Linked DNA regions of Anolis sagrei. The protein of the gene in region 2 purifies or fractionates together with the protein of the main gene of each other region. This does not show direct contact. Links are inferred from orthologs where the notes say so. Each region holds a gene or a part of one and is shown on either strand. Other genes may lie near its edges.

Region 1 (7,847 bases), on a different chromosome or scaffold from region 2:
CTCACAGCAATCCAGTGATTCCAGCCATTAAAGCCTTCAACAACACAATCTATATAAATAAAAATGTAATGTTCATTTGTAAGATTAATATAACTCCAAAACCACTAGACGAACTGACACCAATTCAGACATAATACACCTATCAGGCCAACAAGTGACCAGCACTCATAAAACACTGAAAAACACAGTGGTAGGGACTTAAAAATCCAAAAAAAACCCCAAAAAATACATTACAACACATGCACAAACACACATATATATATGCAAACACACATATGTCATGGGTGCAAATCTGGGGAGCGGCAGCTTCTGCCAACCTAGCAGTTCAAAAACATGCAAATGTGAGATCAATAAGTACCGCTCTGATGGGAAGGTAGCGCCATTCCATGCAGTCATGCCAGCCACATGACCTTGGAGGTGTCTACAGACAACTCCGGCTCTTCGGCTTAGAAATGGAAATGAGCACCACCCACCAGAGTCGGACACGACTGGACTTAATGTCAGGGGAAAACCTTTACCTTTCCCCTACACAAATATATACACACACAAAATACATATGCACAGACTGGGCCACAGCAACGTGTGGCAGGGGACAGCTAGTAAATAAATAAATTCATGCATCTTGAATGATGTTTTTACTGGGTTGTTGTAGGTTTTTCGGACTATATGGCCATGTTCTAGAAGCATTCTCTCCTGACATTTCGCCTGCATCTATGGCAAGCATCCTCAGAGGTTGTGAAATGTTTTTACTGTTTTAATACTTTTATATTTGTACTAGCTGCACCTGCCATGCGTTGCTGTGGCCAACCTACCCTCCCTCTTTCTCTCCTTCCTTCCCTCTTTCCTTCCTCCTCTTTTTCTTTCCCTTCATCTTTCTTCCTTCTCTGTTTCTTTCCTCCCTTTCTTTGCTCTTTGGTTCCACCCTTCCTTGTCTCCTTCCTTCCCTCCCTCTTTCATTCCTTCTCTCCTTTCTTCCCTTTCTCTTTCCTTCCTTCTTTCACTTTATTTCCTTTTCTCCTTCCTTCTCTACCTTCCTTTCTTGCCTTCCTTCTCTCCTTTCCTTCTTCTTTCCCTCTTTCTCTCCTTCCTTCCCCCTTTCTGTGTATATGTGTTTTGTGTGTGTACATATGCATATATGTATGTGTATATTTGTGTATATGTGTATATATGTGTGTTTGTGTATATATGTGGTTTTGCGCATATGTTGTAATGTATTTTTTATTTTTTTGGCTTTTTAAGCCTCTTCTGCTGTGTTTTTCAGTTTTTTTATGAGTGATGGTCACTCATTGGCCTAAGGCAGCGTTTCTCAACCTGGGGGTCGGGACCCCTGGGGGGGGGGGTCACGAGGGATTGTCCGAGGAGTCGCCAAAGACCCATCGGAAAGGTGGAAGGTGAACTACATCTCCCCTAAATCACTGTCAATTCATCCCAAATCACTCCAATAAGTTCTGTTGGTGACGGGGGTTCTGTGTTGGAAGTTTGGCCCACTTCTATCATTGGTGGGGTCAAGGGACTATAGGTGAACTATAAAACCCAGCAACTACAACTCCCAAATGCAAAGTTCTATTTTCCCCAAACTCCACCAGTGTTCACATTTGGGCGTATTGAGTATTCGTGTCAAGTTTGGTCCAGATCTATGATTGTTTGAGTCCACAATGCTCTCTGGATGTAGGTGAACTACAACTCCAAAACTCAAGGTCAATGTCCACCAACACTTTCAATATTTTATGTTGGTCATGGGAGTTCTGTGTGCCAAGTTTGGTTCAATTCCATCGTTGGTAGAGTTCTGAATGCTCTTTAATTGAAGGTGAACTATAAATCCCAGCAACTACAACTGCCAAATGACAAAATCAATCCCCCCACCGCACCCCACCAGTATTCAAATGTGGGCGTATCGGGTATTTGTGCCAAATTTGGTCCACTGAATTAAAATACATCTTACATATTACTTATTTACATTATGATTCCTAGCAGTAGGAAAATTGCAGTTATGAAGTAGCAATAAAAATAATTTCATGGTTGGGAGTCAGCACAACATATAGAACTGTATTAAGGGGTCGTGGCATCAGAAAGGTTGAGAACCACTGGCCTAAGGTGTCTTGTGTCCAAATTTGGTGTCAAGTCGTCCAGTGGTTTTTGAGTTATGTTAATCCCACAAATGAACATTACCTTTTTATTTATATAGGTATTTTAAGTTGCATAGCAATCGTTTTAATTGTGAACCGCTTGGAGTCTCCGTATGGGGAGAGAAAAAGCGGGATTTAAATAAACATAATAACAATAATAATAGCAACAACAACCTCGGCCCTTCAGGTGTTTTGGACTTGAACTCCCACAATTCTGTGTATATGTGTTTTGTGTGTGTATATATTTGTGTATATGTGTATATATGTGTGTTTGTATAAATGTGATTTTGTGTTGTCCAAAACACCTGGAGGGCCGAGGTTTGCCAATGCCTGGCGTAGATCCCCCCCCCCCCCCCCAGAAGGCAAGGAACATCCCAAGATGGTCCAAGAAGCAACGGGGGAAGGGGGCGCCTCTTGCCCCTCCCTTCCCAGAGGAAAGCCCCCTCCTCCTCCCCCCTCCCTCCTGAAGCGCGCGCGCCCCCACCTTGTCGGCCAGGCTCCTCGGGAGCTGCAGCTCGGGGCTGGGCGTGAGGTCCCCCCCGGCCTCCTCGCTGCTGGAGGCGGCCAGCGGGTGCGGCATGTCCCGCAGCGACCTGGGTCCCGAGGAAGGCAGCGCCTTGGGAGTCCCCGCCCCGCCGCCCCCGGCTGCAGACATCGCGGGGAGGCGGAGCGGACGCGGGGCCCAAGCTTCCCCGAGGCCGAGCTGGGCAGCAGGAGGCAGGCAACGACTCCCAGAGGCAGGCGGGCGGGCGGAGAGCGAGAGCGCCTTGCCAAACACAGAGAGAGGGGGAGAGAGAGAGAGAGAGAAGGAAAGGCCCGCCCGCCTGACAGGAAAGCTGCTCGAGACAACGTAGCAGCGCTTTCACCCGGAGAGAGTACTGCGGCGGGGCCCCGCCCACTCTGGCTATCGCGGGCGCCTATAGGCCGAGGGGGCTGTGATTGACACACGCTCTCTCGCGTCGCCCCACCCCCTTCCTTGGCCCTCTGGGTTGAATTTGTAGTCTCTTAATGGAAGATGTCCGTTAAAAGGGGAGGGGGGAGGAGGGAGGAGTGGAAACACTCCCATCACCACAACAACAACACCTTTTTCTCTCCCTTCCTCCTTCCCACACACACACAGTCACGCCCCGTTTACCATGACGTGTGTCTTTCTGCCTGCGTTGGTCCCTTCAAGCTGCCTGACCACTCTTGAATGGTCCCCTCTTGTGAGGGAAATGAAAAAGGTTTCTGAGGGAAACTCGAAGATATGTTTCGTTAAAACAACAGCAACCCCTTCTTCCCCTGCTCATCTACACACGCATTTGCTAAAGACACTCCTTGTTGCTACGAATTGTCCCTGTTGTGAGGAAGATTAAGGTTTTTGAGGCATTTCTGAGGAATATCTCCAATTAAAATAACAGCAACACTTTCCCCCCTCAACTACTCACACAAGGCACACCCCATTTGCCAAAGACACTGTTTACTTGTGTGTGTCTACTTCTGGGGAAGAAGCCATGAATTGCACCAGTTGTGAGGGAAATAAAGATTTCTGAGGGTCCTTCCACACAGATCTCTATCCCAGAATATCAAGGCAGAAAATCCCACAATATCTGCTTTGGGCTGGGTTATCTGAGGGCCCTTCCATACAGCCCAGTATCCCAGGATATCAAGGCAGAAAATCCCACAATATCTGCTTTGAACTGGTTTATCTAAGGGCCCTTCCATACAGCCCAGTATCCCAGGATATCAAGGCAAAAAATCCTCGTGGGCCATTCAGTACAACCCCCTGCCAAGAAGCAGGAACATCACATTCAAAGCACCCCTGACAGATGGCCACCCAGCCTCTGCTTAAAACCTCCAAAGGAGGAGTCTCCACCACACTTCGTGGCAGATAGTTCCACTGCTAAACAGCTCTTACAGTCAGGAAGTTCTTCCTCATGTTCAGGTGGAATTTCCTTTCCTGTAGTTTGAAGCCATTGCTCCATGTCCTAGGACCCTTCCACACAGCCCTATATCCCAGAATATCAAGGCAGAAAATCCCACAATATCTGTTTTGAACTGGGTTATCTGAATCTACACTCTGGCCCCTTCCACACAGCTGAATAAAATCCCACATACGGTAGTGTTATACGGCAGTGTGGACTCAGATAACCCAGTTCAAAGCAGATATTGTGGGGTTTTCTGCCTTGATATTCTGGGTTATATGGATGTGTGGAAGGGCCCTCTGATAATGTAGGATTTTGTGCCTTGATATTCTGGAATATAGGGCTGTGTGAAAGGGACCCTAGTCGCCAGGGCAGCAGAAGTTTTGTATATTTTAAGTTGTATTGTAATGCTTTTAACAGTGAGCTGCTTTGAGTCTCCATAAGATAAAAAGTGGGATATAAATAAACATAATAAACAATAAATAGTTATGTATTATGTTTGTAACAAAATATACAACTATTAATTATGTCACAAAAAACAATTATTCCCTAAATATTAGAAGGTGCCTCTATATCTGCCACTTAGCATCAACATAAGTCTCAGCTTGCTGTATGCATAACTGCAAAATCCATCAGTCAATGGCTGCCCCAAAAATATTTTAAATGCATACAGGCTTATATATACATGCATGTGCATATGTTTATTCTTACTGGTTAAATCACTCTCTCCCCCTTTACATACACATCTAATTCATCAGAACAGAGAATATCCAGCACCTTTCCTATCTGTTGATAATGCATAATTTCCATCAGATCATAGCAAAATCTCTAGGAGTGCATATACACTGCATAGTTAATGCAGTTTGACACCATTTTAACTACCATAGCTCAATGCTATGAACTCCTAGAATTTGTAGTTTGGTGAAGCATCAATACTCTGGCAGCAAACATTTGTAAAACTACAACTCTCATGATTCCATAGCATGGTGCCACGGCAGTTAAAGTGATGTCAAATTTCATTGATTTTAATGGGCAGATACAGCCAATGATCCACCAACTGTAATTTAGTTCTCACTGTAAAATAAGCAGCTCCGTGTGTGTGTGTTTCGGTTTGCTAATCTTTTCTGTCAGTCATTTGATTAAAATTATCTTTTCTGGGGTTTGCTCCAATACATGATGGTCTGATCTTCAAGTCTGATGCTAACTGCTTCAGAAAAAGAACCTCTGTTTACTTGACTGCAAATACCAAGAAACAGTTAACAGTATGCTCTGGGATTTTCATGCAAATTAACATCTGATGAAGGTTTTTGGAAATGATAGGCCAATCTTTGTGTTGCCAAGGTCTTGCCTATAAATTTAGATTTGATCAGACAATTATTATGGTGTCAAGTGCAGTCAGCCCTCCAGAAAACTGTTGTTCTCTTTGGAAGCCTTCTCCTCCCTGCCCTAGCACCAGAAGCGGTTTGAGATTTCCCTCCTGAAGATTTCCTTGGGAGGGATGACCAGATCACACCCACAGTACACCCACTAATACATCATTCTCACAATGAAATGAGATGTCTGCACTCAAGCCAACTAATGATTCATAGAGGGAGTTTTCTATCATGAAAAAAAATCACATTTTCAATAACTTTTGCAGTCTAATAGCATTTGGAAAACCATGACATCATGTGATAAATCTGAGATAAAGGCAGAATAAAATCACTAATATGAGGATATAGCAGCATGGTGTAATAAGGATTCAAGAGAACCTTGATCTCAAAGCCCAGAGAGACTCATATGGAACAATGTGGCCTCCAAGTATGATGTATTTATTTATTTTGTGTCAAAAGCATTGCATACATAAGTATAATAACTGATAAAAATATAAGGAGCACAAGTGGCGAAATAATTTTTGACCAAAACCAAGCACCAGCAATCCACATGTTATTGTGTGCAGCTACTTCATGCTTGGTGTTCATGCAGTGTTTCCTAAATGTTAGTTTTCAATCTAAGGTGATGCCGAGATATTTAGGATGGAAACAGTGTTAGAGCTCTTGACCTTCCCAGGTAACTTTCGATTTCCTTTTGGATTCATGGTTAAGTCCAAGTATGATACATAGATCGCTTTAGAGATTCAATGAACACTTTCAATGTTCACTAGAAACATAAGTAGCCAATGGTATGGTTATAAAAAGGAAACCAACCACATTCAGTAATCAGGCTATAGGTATTTGGACCTAATGAATTTTCTGAACACTTGTCATATTAAGCACAATATAATAATCTAAATAAGATATAACTAAAATGTGTCACTTTGACCATATTTATTTAATGGATGCTGCTTTAAATGGCATGAATGCTGTTCTAGCTACCACAACGTGAGATCTCGGGGCCAGGGTTCAATCCAAGAGCGCATCCATGCTGTGAATCATATCTTTAGAAGTACAACCCCATCTAGCATGGTCTGAAACCTTGTTTCCTGATCTGTCTTATGTACTGACCAGAAACACTTTCGTCTTTATGTCCCTCCCCCTGTGCCATGTCCCTGTCCCCATCAGATGGGGAAATAGGTTAAAAAGGCAGGTGGCTCTATTGGAGCCATACGAAAAATACTTACCCAAGCATGCTGGCCGAGGAAGCATCTTGCCATGCTTCGTTGGCACTTCAAGCATCAATGGAGTGGGGTCTGCTGAGCATCATGTGATGGCCCCATCCCCAAAGTGCTGCAAAGGGGCAATTTGCCCCAGTGTGATGAGGTGGTAAGTTTCAGTTTATTTCCTCTACTCCATTACTGATGAAAACCACCAGTTTACAACTGTAACAGCTTCCTTGGATTTAGGTAGAAAGATGTTACAGAATAAGGTGTCACAAGGAGTGCATCTACAATGTAGGATTAAAGCAGTTTGACATGACTTTAACTGCCATGGCTAAATGCTAAGGAATCGTGGGAGTTGTAGTTTGGTGAGACATCACTACTCTTTGGCAAAGGCAAAAGAACTTCTATAATCACAATTGCCTTTTTTTTTTCCGTGTCAGGAGGAACTTGAGAAACTGCAAGTCGCTTCTGGTGTGAGAAAACTGGCCGTCTGCAAGGAAGTTGCCCAGGGGACACGCAGATATTTTGATGTTTTACCATCCTTATGTGAGGCTTCTCTTATGTCCCCGCATGGGGAGCTGGAGCTGACAGAGGGAGCTCAACCCGCTCGCCACAGACTCGAATTGCTGAACTGTCAGTCAGCAGTCCTGCAGGCACAAGGGTTTAACCCATTGCACCACCAGGGGCTCCAGTTCCCATGATTTCATAGCATAGCATTGAGCCATTGCAGATAATAATAATAATAATAATAATAATAATAATAATAATCCAAGATCTATAAATTTAGACACCGATCTATGTGGGAGGATTGTGTTAAATACAGATCTAAAGTCTGCAAATGGTATCCTCGCATAGTTCCCCCATCGTTCCAGGTGGGAATTAATCATGGGGAGGAACTACCAGCAGGATAAATACAGCTTCAATGCAGGTTTGCCATCTCCTGCAATAAAATCCACAGATGTAAAATTGGGAAAAATTGCTACCCCAATATGTCTCCTATTTGAAGAAACTGGCATTAGCTGACCTATATATCTATTACCCAGGTACTAACAGTTAAAAATGTAGCATTTGTAAACATTGGTGCATACTGCTATCTTCTTTCTTGGTGATACATTTTCTCTCTCTTTCTCAATATATGTATGTGACCACCCTGATGCTCACTAACCTGAAAGTAACTGAATGTAGCAGTTATTTGTTTCTAAATATGTAGGTATCGATTTTTAGTAGTGATGACAACAC
Region 2 (7,651 bases):
ATTTTATGTTCTCTTACATTGTTGCTTTTATAATTTTTACTATGCTGTATTTTAACCTATATTTGACCGGGCTTGTCCCCATGTAAGTTGCCCTGAGTCCCTTCAGGAAGATGGTGGTGGGATGCAAAAATATAGTTGTTGTTGTTATTATTATTATTTCTTCTGAAGAGTTTAGGGTACTACATTTGGCTCTCCCTTCCCCAATGAAGTGCCAAAACATTCCTAGGAAGTACATCAGGCAGTGTGTGATTGGCACAAGCTTGTCCAATGAAATTCACAGCCCAGTGGGGACTAGAAGCTTAGAAGTAGAGTAAGCCAAGTTTCATGAAAGCTGATGTTAAATATTAAAGACTACTGTCATTGCAGGTGCCTCATGATTGCAGCACAAAGGCGGCTAAATAGCCCATTGTTGTTAAGTGGTTTTCGTACCAAGGGAAAGAGCAATGGACAAAGAAAAGAAGAGCTCCCAGCTGATGCAGCTTTCTTCTTTATCATATGCCACACTGTGCCTGCCAGAATTCCCAGTTATGGCCAACTCTCAAATAGGCTGGTTCTACACTGTAGAAATAATGCATTCTGATTCCACTTTAATGCTGTATAATCGTGAGAGATGTCGTTTGGTGAGACAACAGCACTCATTGTCTTGTAAAACAACAACTCCTAGGATTGCATAACATTGAGTCAAGGCAGTTACAAGTTGTTAAACTGCAATAATTCCTCAGTGTAGATTTACCCAAAGAAACAGGTAGCAATGCAGAGCCCTCCCAGGTGTTGCGCCTATCTTTCCCTCCAACTCGCCCCCTCCTCTATCCCCACCACTCCCAATGCCTCTCAATATGTGTACGTACCTTCAAGGTGCCTGTTGACTTATAATAATAATAACTTTATTCTTATACCCTACCACCATCTCCCCGAAGGGACTCGGGACTGCTTACATAGAGGACAAAATGCCCATAAAAACACAAATACAAAACAATCAATTCAAACAAAAACGCAGTTAAAATAAAACATAGTAAAATATAACAATCCAGATTAAACCACATTTAAATAACACATAAACTATAAAACATCAGCATTGAAACTCAGTCAAAACAAGTGCAACTGGTGGGGATGACAGATAGGGCCTTTTCAGTGATGGCCCATTGGCTGTGGAACACCATTCCTAGCGACATCAGGTCAGCCCCCTCCCTCCTCACTTTCGGAAGGAAAGTAAAATCTTGGCTCTGGGACCAGGCTTTCAAAGACTAGTGTGGTGCAATATAAATTGAATTATATGCAACTGACTATGTAATCGACCTTGGACCATGATTTTTGGATGGTGTGATTTTAATACTGAATGTAATTTTTAAATGTTTAACTTGTATCAATGTTAACTCAACTGTTTTTAAGTTTTTAAATATCTGTATATGTTGCAAGGCATTAAATAATTGCCATATGTAAGCTGCCTTGAGTTCCCTTCGGGGTAGAGAAAGGTGGGGTATGAAAAGAATAAATAAACAGCACGTTTCTGTTTTTATGATGTTATATTTTATTGTGATATGCTCTTACATTGTTTTCTTTTGATTTGATTTTATTGTGTTATGTTTTAATTCTGTGCTCTTTGGGTTTGTCCCCTTGTAAGCTGCCCCGAGTCCCTTTTGGGGAGATGGAGGCAGGGTATAAAAATTAAGCTATTAGATTATTATAAGGGTAAATAATAAATTAATAAATAAATAACAATACTCAGCAAAACCAATTGCCAGTAGTACAGCAGGTGTGATCAGTCTATAAAGGGCTGGGCATTTTATTTATTTATTTCCAACATTTCTACCCCACTCTTCTCAACCCCTGAGGGGGGACTCAGAGCCGCTTACATTGGCAACAATTTGATCCCACAACGTACAAAACAATTATAACAGATATAACAATTAAAAACAGTAAATTAAAAACAATTTAAAACATTAACATAACATACACTGTACAATAGGGCCGGTTACTGGATGAATGACAAAATATCAGGCAACCTAGGTACTGGACACTTATAAGGAGGGGCTAGGCGTCCCCAAATGCAAGCTGAAAAATCCTGGTTTTCAAATCCCTGTGAAAGGAGGACAATGTGGGAGCTTGCCTAATCTCCCTTGGGAGGGACTTCCTAAATTGGGGGGGCCACCACCCTTATGGAGCACTCCATGTATTTATAGCAGGCCTGGGCAAACTTGGGCCTTCCAGGTGTTTTGGACTCCAACTCCCACCATTCCTAACAGCCTACCGGCCTACCAAGTTTGCCGGCTATTAGGAATTGTGGGAGTTGGAGTCCAAAACACCCGGAAGGCCCAAGTTTGCCCATGCCTGATTTATAGGGTTTCCTTAGGCAAGAGACAGTCAGACACCGCCTCTGAAATACATCCAGCAGCAGAACTTGGTATTTGTGAACAGTCTCCAATCCAAATACTCAACAAAACTGACCCTGGTTATCTCCCAAGTGGTGAGATCTGGAACCACTGGGGATATTTTGGCCCTCTCTCCTCTTCCCCAATTATATTAAATGCTTGGGATTTTCAATGGTTCTCAACCTGTGGGTTCAACTCCCAGAAACCCTAATAACTAGAAAACTGGCTGGGATTTCTGGGAATTGTAGGCCAAAACACCTGGAGACCCACAGGTTGAGAACCACTGACACGAGGGATGGGCAAACTTGGGCCCTCCAGGTGTTTTGGACTACAACTCCCACAATTCCTAGCGGCAGCATCAACACCACTCCTCGCCCTTCTCCGTGGGGCTAGGCCTCCTTTCCCTCCTCCTCCTCCTCCTGGCCCCTCACCGCGTAGGCTGGTGCTGCCAGTCCCCCGGCGCTCCCGGCCGCCTTGGCGGGCCTCCCTTCGTGCCCGTCAGCGGCCTGCCTCTCTCCGGGGCCCGGGCTGGAAGGCGCCTCAGGCTCGGCGCCTCCGCCCTGGCTGCCGCTACTGCTGCTCCCGCTCTCCCCGCTGCTGCTCCCCTCGGCGCCGCTGCTGTTGCTGCCACTGCCGGGGCTCTGGGCCCCCGGATGGGGCGCCTCCATTGAGGAAGGCGGCGGGCAGGAGGAGGAGGAGGCGCCGCCAGCAAAGACCGCTCGGCCGCCGACGGCGCATGCGCAGAGCGAGCCGCGAGGAAGGGAGGGGGCGTGGCCTCGGGGAGGAGGAGAAAGAGAGGGAGGAAGGGAAGGGTGAAAGGGAGGGGTTAGGCCAATTACAGTAGTTTATCTGACTGCTTACAAAGTCACAGGAGAACACCTCAGCCTAGAGCAGTAGTTCTCATCCTGTGGGTGCCCAGATGGTTTGGCCTTCAACTCACAGAAATCCTAACAGCTGGTAAACTGGCTGGGAATCCTGGGAGTTGTAGGCCAAAACACCTGGGGACTCACAGGATGAGAACCACTGGTAGAAGGGAAAGGATGGGGAGAAGGCAGGGAAGGGAAGAAAGGTAGGATAGAGAAAAAGGGAGAATGAAAAGGGAATGAAGAGAAAGGGAAAGGAAGAGGGGAAGGATGGAAGGAAGAGAGAGGGGGAGGAAAGAAAGAAGAGAAAGGGGAAGGAAGAGAAAGAGGAGAAGGAAGGAAAAGAAAGGGGAAGGAAGAGGGGAAGGAGAGAAAAGAAAGGGGAAGAGAGGAAGGAAGAGGAGAAGAAGGGAAGGGAAGGAAGGGGAAGGATAGAAGAGATGAAGGAAGAGAAAGAGGGGAAGGAGAGAATAGAAAGGAAAGAAAAAGGGTATAAGAATGAAATTGGAAAGATCAAATGGTACAGGCAGCCTTTTGATAGACATCTGATTGTCTTGCTGTTTCTGTCCAGTGCGGCCGCACTTGAAAAATAAAGAGATTTTTGCTTCAAACCTCATGGAGACTGGCTGTCTTTTTAAGATTCACATTTAAACTATTGAAAGAGTTCCCTTCAGAAGGAAGAGGGAAGGAAGGAAGAGAAAGGAGAAGGGTGGAAAAGAAAGGAGAAGGATGGAAAAGGGGAAGGAAGAGAGGAAGGAAGAGAAGAAGAAAGGAAGAGGAAGAGGGGAAGGAGAGAAGAGAAAGGGGAAAGAAGAAGAAAAGGAAGGAAGAGAAAGGGGAAAGATGGAAGAGGGGGAGGAAGGGAGGAAGAGAAAGAGGAGAGGGGAAGGATGGAAGAGGGGAAGGAAGAAGAGAAAGGGGAAGAAGGGAAGACAAAGGGGAAGGAAGAGAAAGAAGGGAAGGATGGAAGAGAGAAGGATGGAAGAGAAAGAGAAAGAATGACAAGTCATTTATGACTTATGATTATTCTACAGTGAACCTATCACAGGGTTTTTGTTGGTAGAATTGCTTTGCCTTTGCAGTTCTTTGAGGCTGAGAGAGTATGACTTTTTTAAAAGGTGACTATGGGTTTCCATGTCCAAGCAAGGATTCAAACACTCATCTCCCTGTATCCTAGGGTGCATCTACACTAGAATCAATGTTGATTGACTCTACTTAATGCAATAGAATCCTTACAGTTTTACAAGGTCTTTGGCCTCCTCTGCCAAAGGGTGCTGCTGCCTCCCCAGACTACAACTCCCGGTATTCCATAGCATCCAGCCATGGTGGTTAATGTGGTCTCAAACTGCATTCATTTTATTGTGTAGATACACTCCTAGCCCAACCCTCAAACCACAGACATCACAAGTTTTTCTGGGGTGGACATTAAGACAAGACAAAACCAGGCAACCTGCCCGCCTTGTTCTGTATTATTCAACTCTGAGATTACCAGCTCGAAAAAGAAAAAAATCAACAACATGGGGCTCAACATACTTGCATGTGCCAGTTCAATCCCCCTTTGTACTCCCATAAATAAAGATGGGGATACCAGATTCTCTTTCACTTGGGACCCAACCATAACAATTAGTGCTTGATGGGGTATATATGATATTCACATCAGCATTTCATGTAAATCGATGATGCAGATTCAAAAAATGCACATCCTTTAAAATTCACATGTAATTGATGCAAAAGACATATCTTAATGTTCATCTAGCATAAACATCCCAAAGACCACAGTATAATGGGAAGCAGATTTTGGGCGACAGTGTGCAACCATGCATAAAATGGACTTAGGTTAATGAAACAAATCTTAAATCAATCCTACTCTAAGGGCACTTTTGCAGTTCGCATAATCAAAGGGAGATTTTGTGCCAAGAATTGTTCAGTTATAAATGCCTGGGAAACTCTTTTAATTGCAGTGAAAAGGCAAAGGTAACAATAAAATAATCTCGGAAGAAATTTGTACAAACATTGAAGACAACAGAATAGAAACCAGATACACTGAAAGCACTCTATGGGTCTGTAAAATGATCTTGGAGTTTATTTTAACTGGAGTTGTGAAAGGAAGATGGGTTCGAGAGGGCAAATGCATGCAAGCTTAGCTCAGTATGGCTGTTTTGCCTTCTTAAAACTGAGTAAACCAGCTAATTTGGAAAATCATTCAGAGCCAATGGCTGATGGTAAGGTTTAAAGGGACAATGCAAAGAAACAAAGATGTCTTAATTGCAGGGAGAACAGGTAAGAGTTTGGTCCTTCATATTTGCAGCATGAACAAAATAAAGTTTCCAAGAGAACAAAATGAAAGCACGATAACACTAACTCATCAACATGCACTTCAATGGAAGACTGATGAATGTAAAGTTACTAGATGAAACAAAAACAGGGCTCCTGTCACTTTAACTGTTGAGTAGAATGCTTTCATGAACTGCTGATTTTTTCTCTTCTATATAATGATAAAAGATACATAACTCTTATTATTTCACTTGGCAACCCAATGTGACTTTTAAGCAGTGGTAAATAAGGCTATACCTTCTGAAGATGGAACATAGCTTCATGTAACTGAACTCATTTCTTTTGATACATTGACATTGTAATGGAGTACTTTGACTGATTTCTGACTTAGAACAATGCTAAAGTGGGTCGACTGAGACTGATGTGAATATGTTCCTTTGGGATGACATTCATATTTCAAATGGTGCCTGCCGTAACTCTGTGTCTGTCTCCCTTTTTTATGCGCACCTCCAATCCCTTCACAATGCATTTCAGAGGGAACCATGCCTGTCCTGATCTTCTCTTTTGAATTTCTCTTTGCTTGTGGAACACAGTGGCAAAATGCTTGCCTTGTGAAAATCAAAGCAAACAAACCAATCCCACATGAAAAGATACATTCAAAGTATATGTATTAGCATATAATGTCTGACATTCATTGTAACCTCGTTGGTATACTTCATTCAGTAGGGCAAACCTGGAATTCACAACACAACTTGTTATCAACTAAACTGAAAGCAATTATCAAAGGTGGCCTGCCCAGCATTCATGTTTTTTCAATCATACTGAAGCTACAAAATTGTCAGAGATTGAGAGCACACAACTAGCTGCACTACAAGCAGCTTCATAGGTTGTGCTCATATCAGTTTTCACCATCACTGCATTTCTAGAAATAGCAAGTTTTAAAATGAAGCAACAAAATGTAAAGAAGAATAGGTATTTGCAAAAAGGGCAAAGATGAGTACAGCCATATTTTTAAAAAGAATCTAACTTTTTTTCTAACTGTGTTAGAAAAGGGAACATACTGAGACATTCATGGCATTTATTAAGTTCATAAGATCTTGTTTAAAAAGTCTTTTCCAAAACTCTGGCTGTTGGACACAGCTTGAGAAAAGAGCATTCAGAGTGAAGAAAATACACTGTTGTTACTGATAAATAAAATATTAACTGCTTTTAAAGGCTAATGTATGAAATTGAAATGACTACTTAAGTTGTGTTGCAGATAGATGGTGGATGGATAGATGGATATCTTTAAAAGAGCAGATGTGGAGATGTTGGGCTCTGCACATCTACTCAGAAGTAAGCTCTACTGAGTATGGAACTTACTCTTCAGTATAGGACTATACCCTAAATAACTTTTTTACAGTTTTCGTCAAGTTGAAACCATCTCATTTCTTTATATTGCAGCCATCATTTGAGAACAGCTTCCAATTAGTTACTGAATTATTTTATTGCTCTGATACAGCTGCATTGCACATACATGGAAGGTGGAGTGTTACTTTAACCGATCCCTTGTTGTCCGAGTACGATGGCCTTACAAGTGTAGGGTCTTGGCGGTGGATTCATAGGTGACTGTAGAGCCCTATTCTTGACCCACACGTTCTTCCACAGTGAGGACATCAGTTTCCAGGTAGAAGGCAGTTCCGGTAAGGGTTGGCTTGGCATGCCTTCCTCTTGGCATGCTTCTCCCTTTCGTCCTCCATTTGTGCCTCTTCAAATTCCACAGCACTGCTGGTCACAGCTGACCTCCAGCTAGCACTCAAGGGCCAGGATTTCCCAGTTCTCAGTGTCTATGCCACAGTTTTAACGGTTAGCTTTAAGCCCATCTTTAAATCTCTTCCTGTCCACCAACATTACATTTCCCATTCTTGAGTTGGGTGTATAGTAACTGCTTTGGGAGATGGTGATCTGCCATCCGGACAACATGGCCAGTCCAGCAGAGTTGATGGCAGAGGAGCATCGCTTCAGTGATAATGGTCTTTGATGCAGCTGCATTGAACATACATGAAAGATGGAGTGTTACAGCATTACTGTAAGCACTGCTGAATTTCACACACATCACTGAGGGCCCTTCTGCACAGACATGTAACCCAGAATATCTGCTTTGAA
Region 3 (7,265 bases), on a different chromosome or scaffold from region 2:
GGGTGACTCAGTAAAATCCATCTTGTAGATGGCTACCAGCTGGGCCAATGCTCCCAATAATAACCCATTAGTGATCTTTTAAAGCCATGGCTTTTGGCCAGCCTGCTCATATTGAGCTTGTGGACAGAGGTGGATGTCTAACAATGCTCACAGACTGTGGTGCAAACTTCTGCTCTCCAGGGTTGTATCCCAGCCAGGGAAAGCTGTACACCAAGCTGGTGCGTCCGCCCTCAGCCATGAGCACACTACAAATAGAATCATCGAGTTGGAAGAGACTTCATGGGTCATCCAGTCCCTTGCCAAGAAGCAGGACAATCGCATTCAAAGCCCCCCCCCCCCCCCAATAGATAGCCATCCAGCCTCTGTTTAAAAGCCCCCAAAGAAGGAGCCTCCACCAGACTTCGGGGCAAAGAGTTCCACTGCTGAACAGCTCTCACAGTCAGGAAGATCTTCCTAATGTTCAGGTGGAATCTGCTTTCCTGTCATTTGAAGCCATTGTTCTGTGTCCCAGTCTCCAGGGCAGCAGAAGACAAGCTTTCTCTCTCCACCCTATGACCTCCTCTCACATATTATCTCTCATCATGTCTCCTCTCAGTCTTCTCTTCTGCAGGCTAAATATGCCCAGCTCTTTAAGTCGCTCCTCATAGGGCTTGTTCTCCAGACCCTTGATCAATTTAGTCGCCCTCCTCTGGACACATTCCAGCTTGTTAATATCTCTCATCAATTGTGATGCCCAGAATTGGACACAGTATTCCAGGTGTAGTAAACCATTATTTTACTGACACAAAAATATAGTATGACACAACAAACGAGATATATATGCTGGATTTCGAGATCTCAGTTGGCATTTGGAAACAATAAACATTGACAAAATCATGATCTGTCAACTGCAAAAGGCCACCTTACTTGGATCTGTGCATATCATTTGAAAATATATCACACAGTCCGAAATGCTTGGGAAGTGTTCAGCTTGTTATTTTGTGATACGAAAGTAAGTCATTATTATTATTATTACTAGCTGTCCCCTGCCACGCGTTGCCGTGGCCCAGTTTGATGATCTGGAAAATAAAGTAATGAGAAAGTGTTGGATTCTAATATATGTAATTTCTATATGCTTGTGAGTAAACAGTATTTCTTGTTGTTTCTTTGTCAGTGTTGATGTGAAGATTGTCTGGTTTGCCTACTCTGGAACATGCAACATATCATTGTCCTTCTTTAGGGGTCCCTTTCAAATCTATGATACTATATCTGTGTGTGTGTGTGTGTGTGAATCATATATATCTATGTATATGTATGGCTGGATGGCTGTCAGGAGTGCTTTGATTATGTCTTCTTGCCCTGGTGAAGGGAGTTGGACTGGATGGCCTTAAGTATTTTCTGTTGGTCATGGAGGTTCTGTGTGGGAAGTTTGCCACAATTCGGTCGTTGGTGGGGTTCAGAATGCTCTTTGATTGTAGGTGAACTATAAATCCCAGTAACTACAACTCCCAAATATCAAGGTCTATTTCCCCCAAACTTCATCTGTGTTCATATTTGGACATATAGAACATTCATGCCCAGTTTGGTCCAGACCCGTCATTGTTTGAGTCCAAAGTGTTCTCTGGATGTAGGTGAACTACAACTCTCAAACTCAAGGTCAATGCCCACCAAAACTTTCTAGTGTTTTCTGTTGGTCTTGGAAGTCCTGTGTGCCAAGTTTGGTTCAATTCCATCGTTAGTGGAGTTCAGAATGCCCTTTGATTGTAGGTGAACTATAAATCCCAGCAAATACAACTCCCAAATGACAAAATCATAAGTTTTTGAGTGATGGTCACTCCTTGTATTGTGAGATGTTTTGTTGCAAAATTAGGTGTGATTTCGTTCATTGTTTTTTGTTTTGTTTTTAAGGTACTCATTATGCACAGAGCATTTATATATATATAGATTATTATTTGAAACACAACAAGATGAGTCCACAGCAGACACTCTGTTGGCTGTTGCATTGGATCACACGTCGGACACTTCCCAAGTGTCTAGGACTGTGTGATGTATTGGTGAATAATGTGTGCAGATCCCACTAAGGTGGCCTTTTGCAGCTGGCAGCTGGTAATTTTGTCAGTGCCTATTGTGCTTAAGTGCAAGCCAAGGTCTTTAGGCAGTGCACCCAGTGTGCTGATCACCACTGGGACCACCTTTGCTGGCTTGTGCCAGAGTCATCGTCATCGTTGTCATCATCATCATCATCATCAGATGACTGGAGGCCCACACACACACACACACAAGAAAACCCTATGGGCACTTTAATAAGCTTGGAAGGGGCAAGCTTATTTTCTGCTGCTGTTGAAACTAGGGAAGGGAGGAATTGATTCACACTGCAGGGAAAGAGATTCTCCCTAAACGTTGGGAAGGACTTCCGCATGGAGGTGTTTGACAGTGGAATGCACTGCCTTTGAACCTGTCTTCGGCTGTTTTGAAAAGCAGGTTGTGTGGGGCGTGCTTTGGTGGTGTCTTCCTGCCTGGCAGAATGGGGGTGGACCGGCCTTTCTCTTGCGGTCTCTTCCAAGTTGAGGAGTCTATGAAAGACTTGCCCTAAATCGACAGGCGAGGGAAAGCCACAGACAGAGAAAAGCAACGAGGAAGGCGTGCCGAGGCAGGCGGATTTTGAAGCGCTTGGGAAACTTCTGTCCCGCAGACGGAGGGGGAACTCTAGGTTTGTTTGTGTGTTTTCGTGTCCAGAGGAAGCTTAAGGCACAGGGGTGCGGGATCTTCAAGGAGGAGCTCCTTGGCGATGCTGGGAACGAGGGCAGAGCCATTTCGCCCCCATGGCTAGGCGTGGAAAAGCTCCACGGGCGGAGAGACTCTCCTGCTTCCCCGTAGGGCACTCCAGGCGCCTGTTTCTTCCCAAACGGGAGTGGAAAGCCCACGCAGACCTGCGACCCCCTTTCTCATTCCCCTAGTGAATACCTTGCTGAATACTTCCAGGTCCTCGTCGTCGTCCAAGTCCAGGAGCAGCGGGGCAGCCGAGTCCCCCGCCACGTCGCCGCCGCCCTCGGGCTCCATCGCCTTCCCCTCGCTGGATCTCCCTCTTGGAGGAGGAGGAGGAGGAGGAGGGCGATCCCCGGTTGGAGCCCCTCCTCTCGCCTTGGCTATTGGTCGCCTCCTCGCTTCGCCTTCCCTTTCCTGCGCGGCTGGGAAGGAAAGAAGCGAGGGAAGGAGGGGAAAGAGCCAGGAATGGCGGGGGAGGGAGGGAGGGAAGGAAGAGGGGATGGAGTCCGCGAAACCGCCCCCAATTCCCACTTTGGAGGGTCGCTTTGGAAAGCGGGGGCGGGGGGAGAGATCCAGACTTGACGAGTTGGTCCCAGCCTACTCTTCTCTAGTTTAGGAGGAGCAATCCTGCTTAATGCTTTGCAATCTTACTTTCCTAGCTTACTTTAAAACGCCTCTCTTTCTTCTTTCCAGCTGCCTCATTGGCTTTCTTCAGACTGAAATGAAAGTAGAACTCATCCCTCTGTATCAGTGGTTTCCAACCTTTTTTTTTGACCAGGAACCACTTTGATCAGGAACTACTTTGATCAGGGACCAGAGAGCACATTGACCAGGGACCACTTTGACCAGGGACCACTTTGACCTTTGACCAGGGACCACTTAGACCAGGGACCACTTTGACCAGGAACCACTTTGAAGCAGGGGCCATTTTGACCAGGGATCACTTTGACCAAAGACCACTCTGACCAGGGACCACTTTGACCAGGAGCCATTTTAACCAGGAACCACTTTGACCAGGAACCATTGTAACGAGGGACCACTATGACCAGGGACCACTACTTGGACCAGGGACCACTTTGACCAAGGACCATTTTGACCAGGGATCACTTTGACCAAGGACCACTCTGATCAGGGACCACTTTGACCAGGAACCATTTTAACCAGGGACCACTATGACCAGGGACCACTACTTGGACCAGGGACCACTATGACCAGGGACCACTACTTGGACCAGGGACCACTTTGACCAGGGACCATTTTGACCAGGGATTACTTTGGCCAGGGACCGCCCTCCAACATTAGTACCAAAAGACTGAATCAGTTTTTGGTCAACTTTGTGGGATTATTTGAGGCACTAATTCAGAAAATTGTATTGGATAGACCACATCAGCTCTAATTTCTGATACAGAATATATGCTATCCAGTAGTTGCCATCTGCTCACCCACAGAAAACCATATTTAATAATCTAGATTTGTTGTGGTCCATCCAATGCAATTTTCTGAATCAGCACCCAAAATAACCCCACAAACCTTCCCAATAAACAACCCAAGGAAATGTCCTGAAATTATTCCATGCAAAATCCAACTTTTCTGTAAGGTAGATATTAGAAGGTAAAGGTAAAAGTTTCCCCATGACATTAAGTCCAGTCATATCCAACTCTGGGGGTTGGTGCTCACTTCAATTCTAAGCTGAAGAGCTGGCATTGTCCGTAGATGCCTCCAAGGTCATGTGGCCAGCATGACTGCATGGAGCACTGTTACCTTCCCGCCAGAGCGGTACCTATTGATCTACTCACATTTGCATGTTTTCTAGGTTGGCAGAAACCAGGGCTAACAGTGGGAGCTCACACCGCTCCCCGGATTCGAACCTGCGACCTTTCGATAAGCAAGTTCAGCAGCTCAGCAGTTTAACCCACTGCACCACCGGAGGCTCCAATGATTAGATTTTTTATTCTGCTACATGAAAGTGACACTTTTTTTTTGCTCAGTTTCTTCTATGTACTAAATTGGAGATTAGTCTTCCTGACAGAAGCACGGCTTTACCCAACCAAAGTGCATGGCTGACACAGGAATGTGTGTATCTCCATTTTTCCAAGTGATTAGCTGGGAACTAAAGGATGCAACATTGCATTTATAGAGTGCCAATGGCAACATTTTTAAAACCCTTGCATAGCTCAGGCCTCAGTTGATGCTATCTGCAGTATTTCTGAATAAATGAAGCACTCACCTCTAGGATTTAAGGATGGCTGACACACATTTTCAAGCTTTTTATTTTTTTGGAATGCCTCACAATCAGTGAAACCACTTCTCCAGCTGCCAATGAAGGATCTATGTACTATCTCTTGATCATTGTTTTGAGGGTAGCATTTGTCCCCAAATATAAATCCACCACCAGGTATGATAAGCACAGTGTGAGGATCTTCTTGGTGGCTGAAACTCTCTTTGTAGGAAGGATAGAGCGTGTCTTTCTGCTTCCTCTTTTTCTGCCATTAGATTTTTTTAAAATCCCAGTAGTGTCTTGTGACTGTGTCCTTATATACTTTCAAGTCATCTGTCAACTCATGGTGACTCTATGGATTTTCTTAGGCAAGGGATACCCAGTGGTAGTTTTGCTACTACCTTCCTCTGAAATATAGCCAGCAACATAAAATCCATAGAATAACACATAATTGAAAGCCTTTCCTGCCAATAGTATTCATTGGCAGGAAAGGCATTCAATTATCTGTTATTCTATGGATTTTATTATTTTACTCTATCTATCTAGACACAATAAAACTGAAAATATGCATGTGTGTATGTGACTGGGGTGTCCCCTTACACAGACAAGCTCCCACCTCCACAAACAGCTATTGCTGTCACTATACAGGAGATACCAATAGGCCTTCCTCCAATAACATTACAGGTTACAACGAGTACCATGAAAATGTGCAAGAGCCCTGCCAATGTCCTTCACCAAAACCACACTTCCCACCACCCAAGTAAAAGCTTTCATTCAGGGACTAATTCACCCTAGTTTTGATGTGTTTCCTCCACCACAGGCATCCTAGTGTTTCTTACTCTCACCAATGGTGTGAAATTTGCTTAACCCCACCCACTGCCTCTCCCTTAACCCTTTCCTATTCTTTTCTATGGCACACAGAAAACAGAGGAATCGATCAGCAACTGAACATACTAGAGAGGTTTGGGGAGAATGCACTATGACTTATAGGAATTGTAGGTACTGGGATGCATAGTTCACCTGCAATCTAAGAACTGCAGTCTGAACCCTACCAACGATAGAACTGGAACAAACTTGGCACACAGAACCCCCATGATCAATAAAAAACACTGGAGGTCTTTGGAGGGAGTTCTGGGAGTTGTAGTTCACTTACATCCAGAGTGCACTATAAACTCAAACACATATAGATCTGAGCCAAACTTGGCATGCATACCTGATATGCCCAAATTTGAATACTGGTGAGTTTTGAGGGGAACTGGCCTGGACTGTTTAGAGTTGTAGGTACTGGGGTTTATAGTTCACCTGCAATCTATGAGCACTCTGAACTCCACCAAAATGGAATTGGATTAAACTTGGCGCATAGAGCCCCAATGACCAGCAAACATACTGGAGGTCTTGGGGGAAAATTCACCTTGATTTGGGGGAGTTGAAGTTCACCTACATCCAGAGAGCACTGTGAACTCAAACACTGGTGGATCTGGACCAACCTTGGCACACATACCTCATATGCCGAAATTTGATTACTGGAGGGGTTTAGGGGCGGGGGGAACTAACCTTCCTTTCTGGAAGTAGTAGTTCACCCACAACCAGAGAAACTGTGACCTCCGCCAATGACTAATCTGGACCAAACTTGGCCAGACCTACTGGGAGGGTTTAAGGGGACTGACTCACCATAGTGGGAGTTGTAGTTTACCCTGCAGTGAGAGAACACACTGAACCCCCAGCTGACATCAGATCTGGAACAAACTTGGCACGCAGATTCAACATGGCCAACTGTTCATACAGGCAGGGTTAGGGTGTGATTGACCTTGGATCTGGGAGTTGTAGTTCACCCTAATCCAGAGAGCACTGAACCCAGCCAATGTTGGATCTCGACCAAATTTGGCACACAGACCCAACATGGCTAACTATGAATACTGTTGGAGTTTGGGAAGGATAGACCCATGATTTTGGGAATTGTAGTTCACCCACTTATGAATTTTCTAATGGGAGCATTCATAACAAACAAAAGCGGCCTTACTGGTACATTATTTAAACTGTTATGTTTATTCATATCATGATCTGATCACCATGCTCAATATATCCCATATGCATGGGAGTATTGGGGTAATGATACAAAAGGTTTGCTAGGGTAGACCCTCTTTCACTCAGACTCAGCCCCCCGAATCAAACTCACTCTCCCCCCCCCCCCCCAATCAAAATCCTGGCTACGGGCCTGCAAAGTGATATTACCTAAAACCCCAAAACAAACAATACTTTTTTGAATAACTGGAGCATTGCCAGGTCCCCAAGCTAGTATATA

What was found.
Region 1: the proteins of SNX4 (region 2) and SNX30 purify together in Homo sapiens (co-immunoprecipitation; 4 studies listed by BioGRID and IntAct, counting the BioPlex papers as one, with this or other methods). This does not show direct contact. The link is inferred for Anolis sagrei from reciprocal best matches to the Homo sapiens genes SNX4 and SNX30.
Region 3: the proteins of SNX4 (region 2) and SNX7 purify together in Homo sapiens (affinity purification with mass spectrometry; 3 studies listed by BioGRID and IntAct, counting the BioPlex papers as one, with this or other methods). This does not show direct contact. The link is inferred for Anolis sagrei from reciprocal best matches to the Homo sapiens genes SNX4 and SNX7.

What each region holds. Positions count from the first base shown.
Region 1 is NC_090022.1:207,183,474-207,191,320, reverse strand, and holds the start of SNX30 (sorting nexin-30), read right to left. Parts: upstream 3,022-7,847; 5' UTR 2,782-3,021; coding exon 2,611-2,781; intron 1-2,610. UniProt on the Homo sapiens protein: Involved in the regulation of endocytosis and in several stages of intracellular trafficking. Together with SNX4, involved in autophagosome assembly.
Region 2 is NC_090021.1:218,970,028-218,977,678, reverse strand, and holds the start of SNX4 (sorting nexin-4), read right to left. Parts: upstream 3,091-7,651; 5' UTR 3,038-3,090; coding exon 2,801-3,037; intron 1-2,800. UniProt on the Homo sapiens protein: Involved in the regulation of endocytosis and in several stages of intracellular trafficking. Plays a role in recycling endocytosed transferrin receptor and prevent its degradation.
Region 3 is NC_090024.1:149,072,053-149,079,317, reverse strand, and holds the start of SNX7 (sorting nexin-7), read right to left. Parts: upstream 3,094-7,265; 5' UTR 3,040-3,093; coding exon 2,944-3,039; intron 1-2,943. UniProt on the Homo sapiens protein: Involved in the regulation of endocytosis and in several stages of intracellular trafficking. Together with SNX4, involved in autophagosome assembly by regulating trafficking and recycling of phospholipid scramblase ATG9A.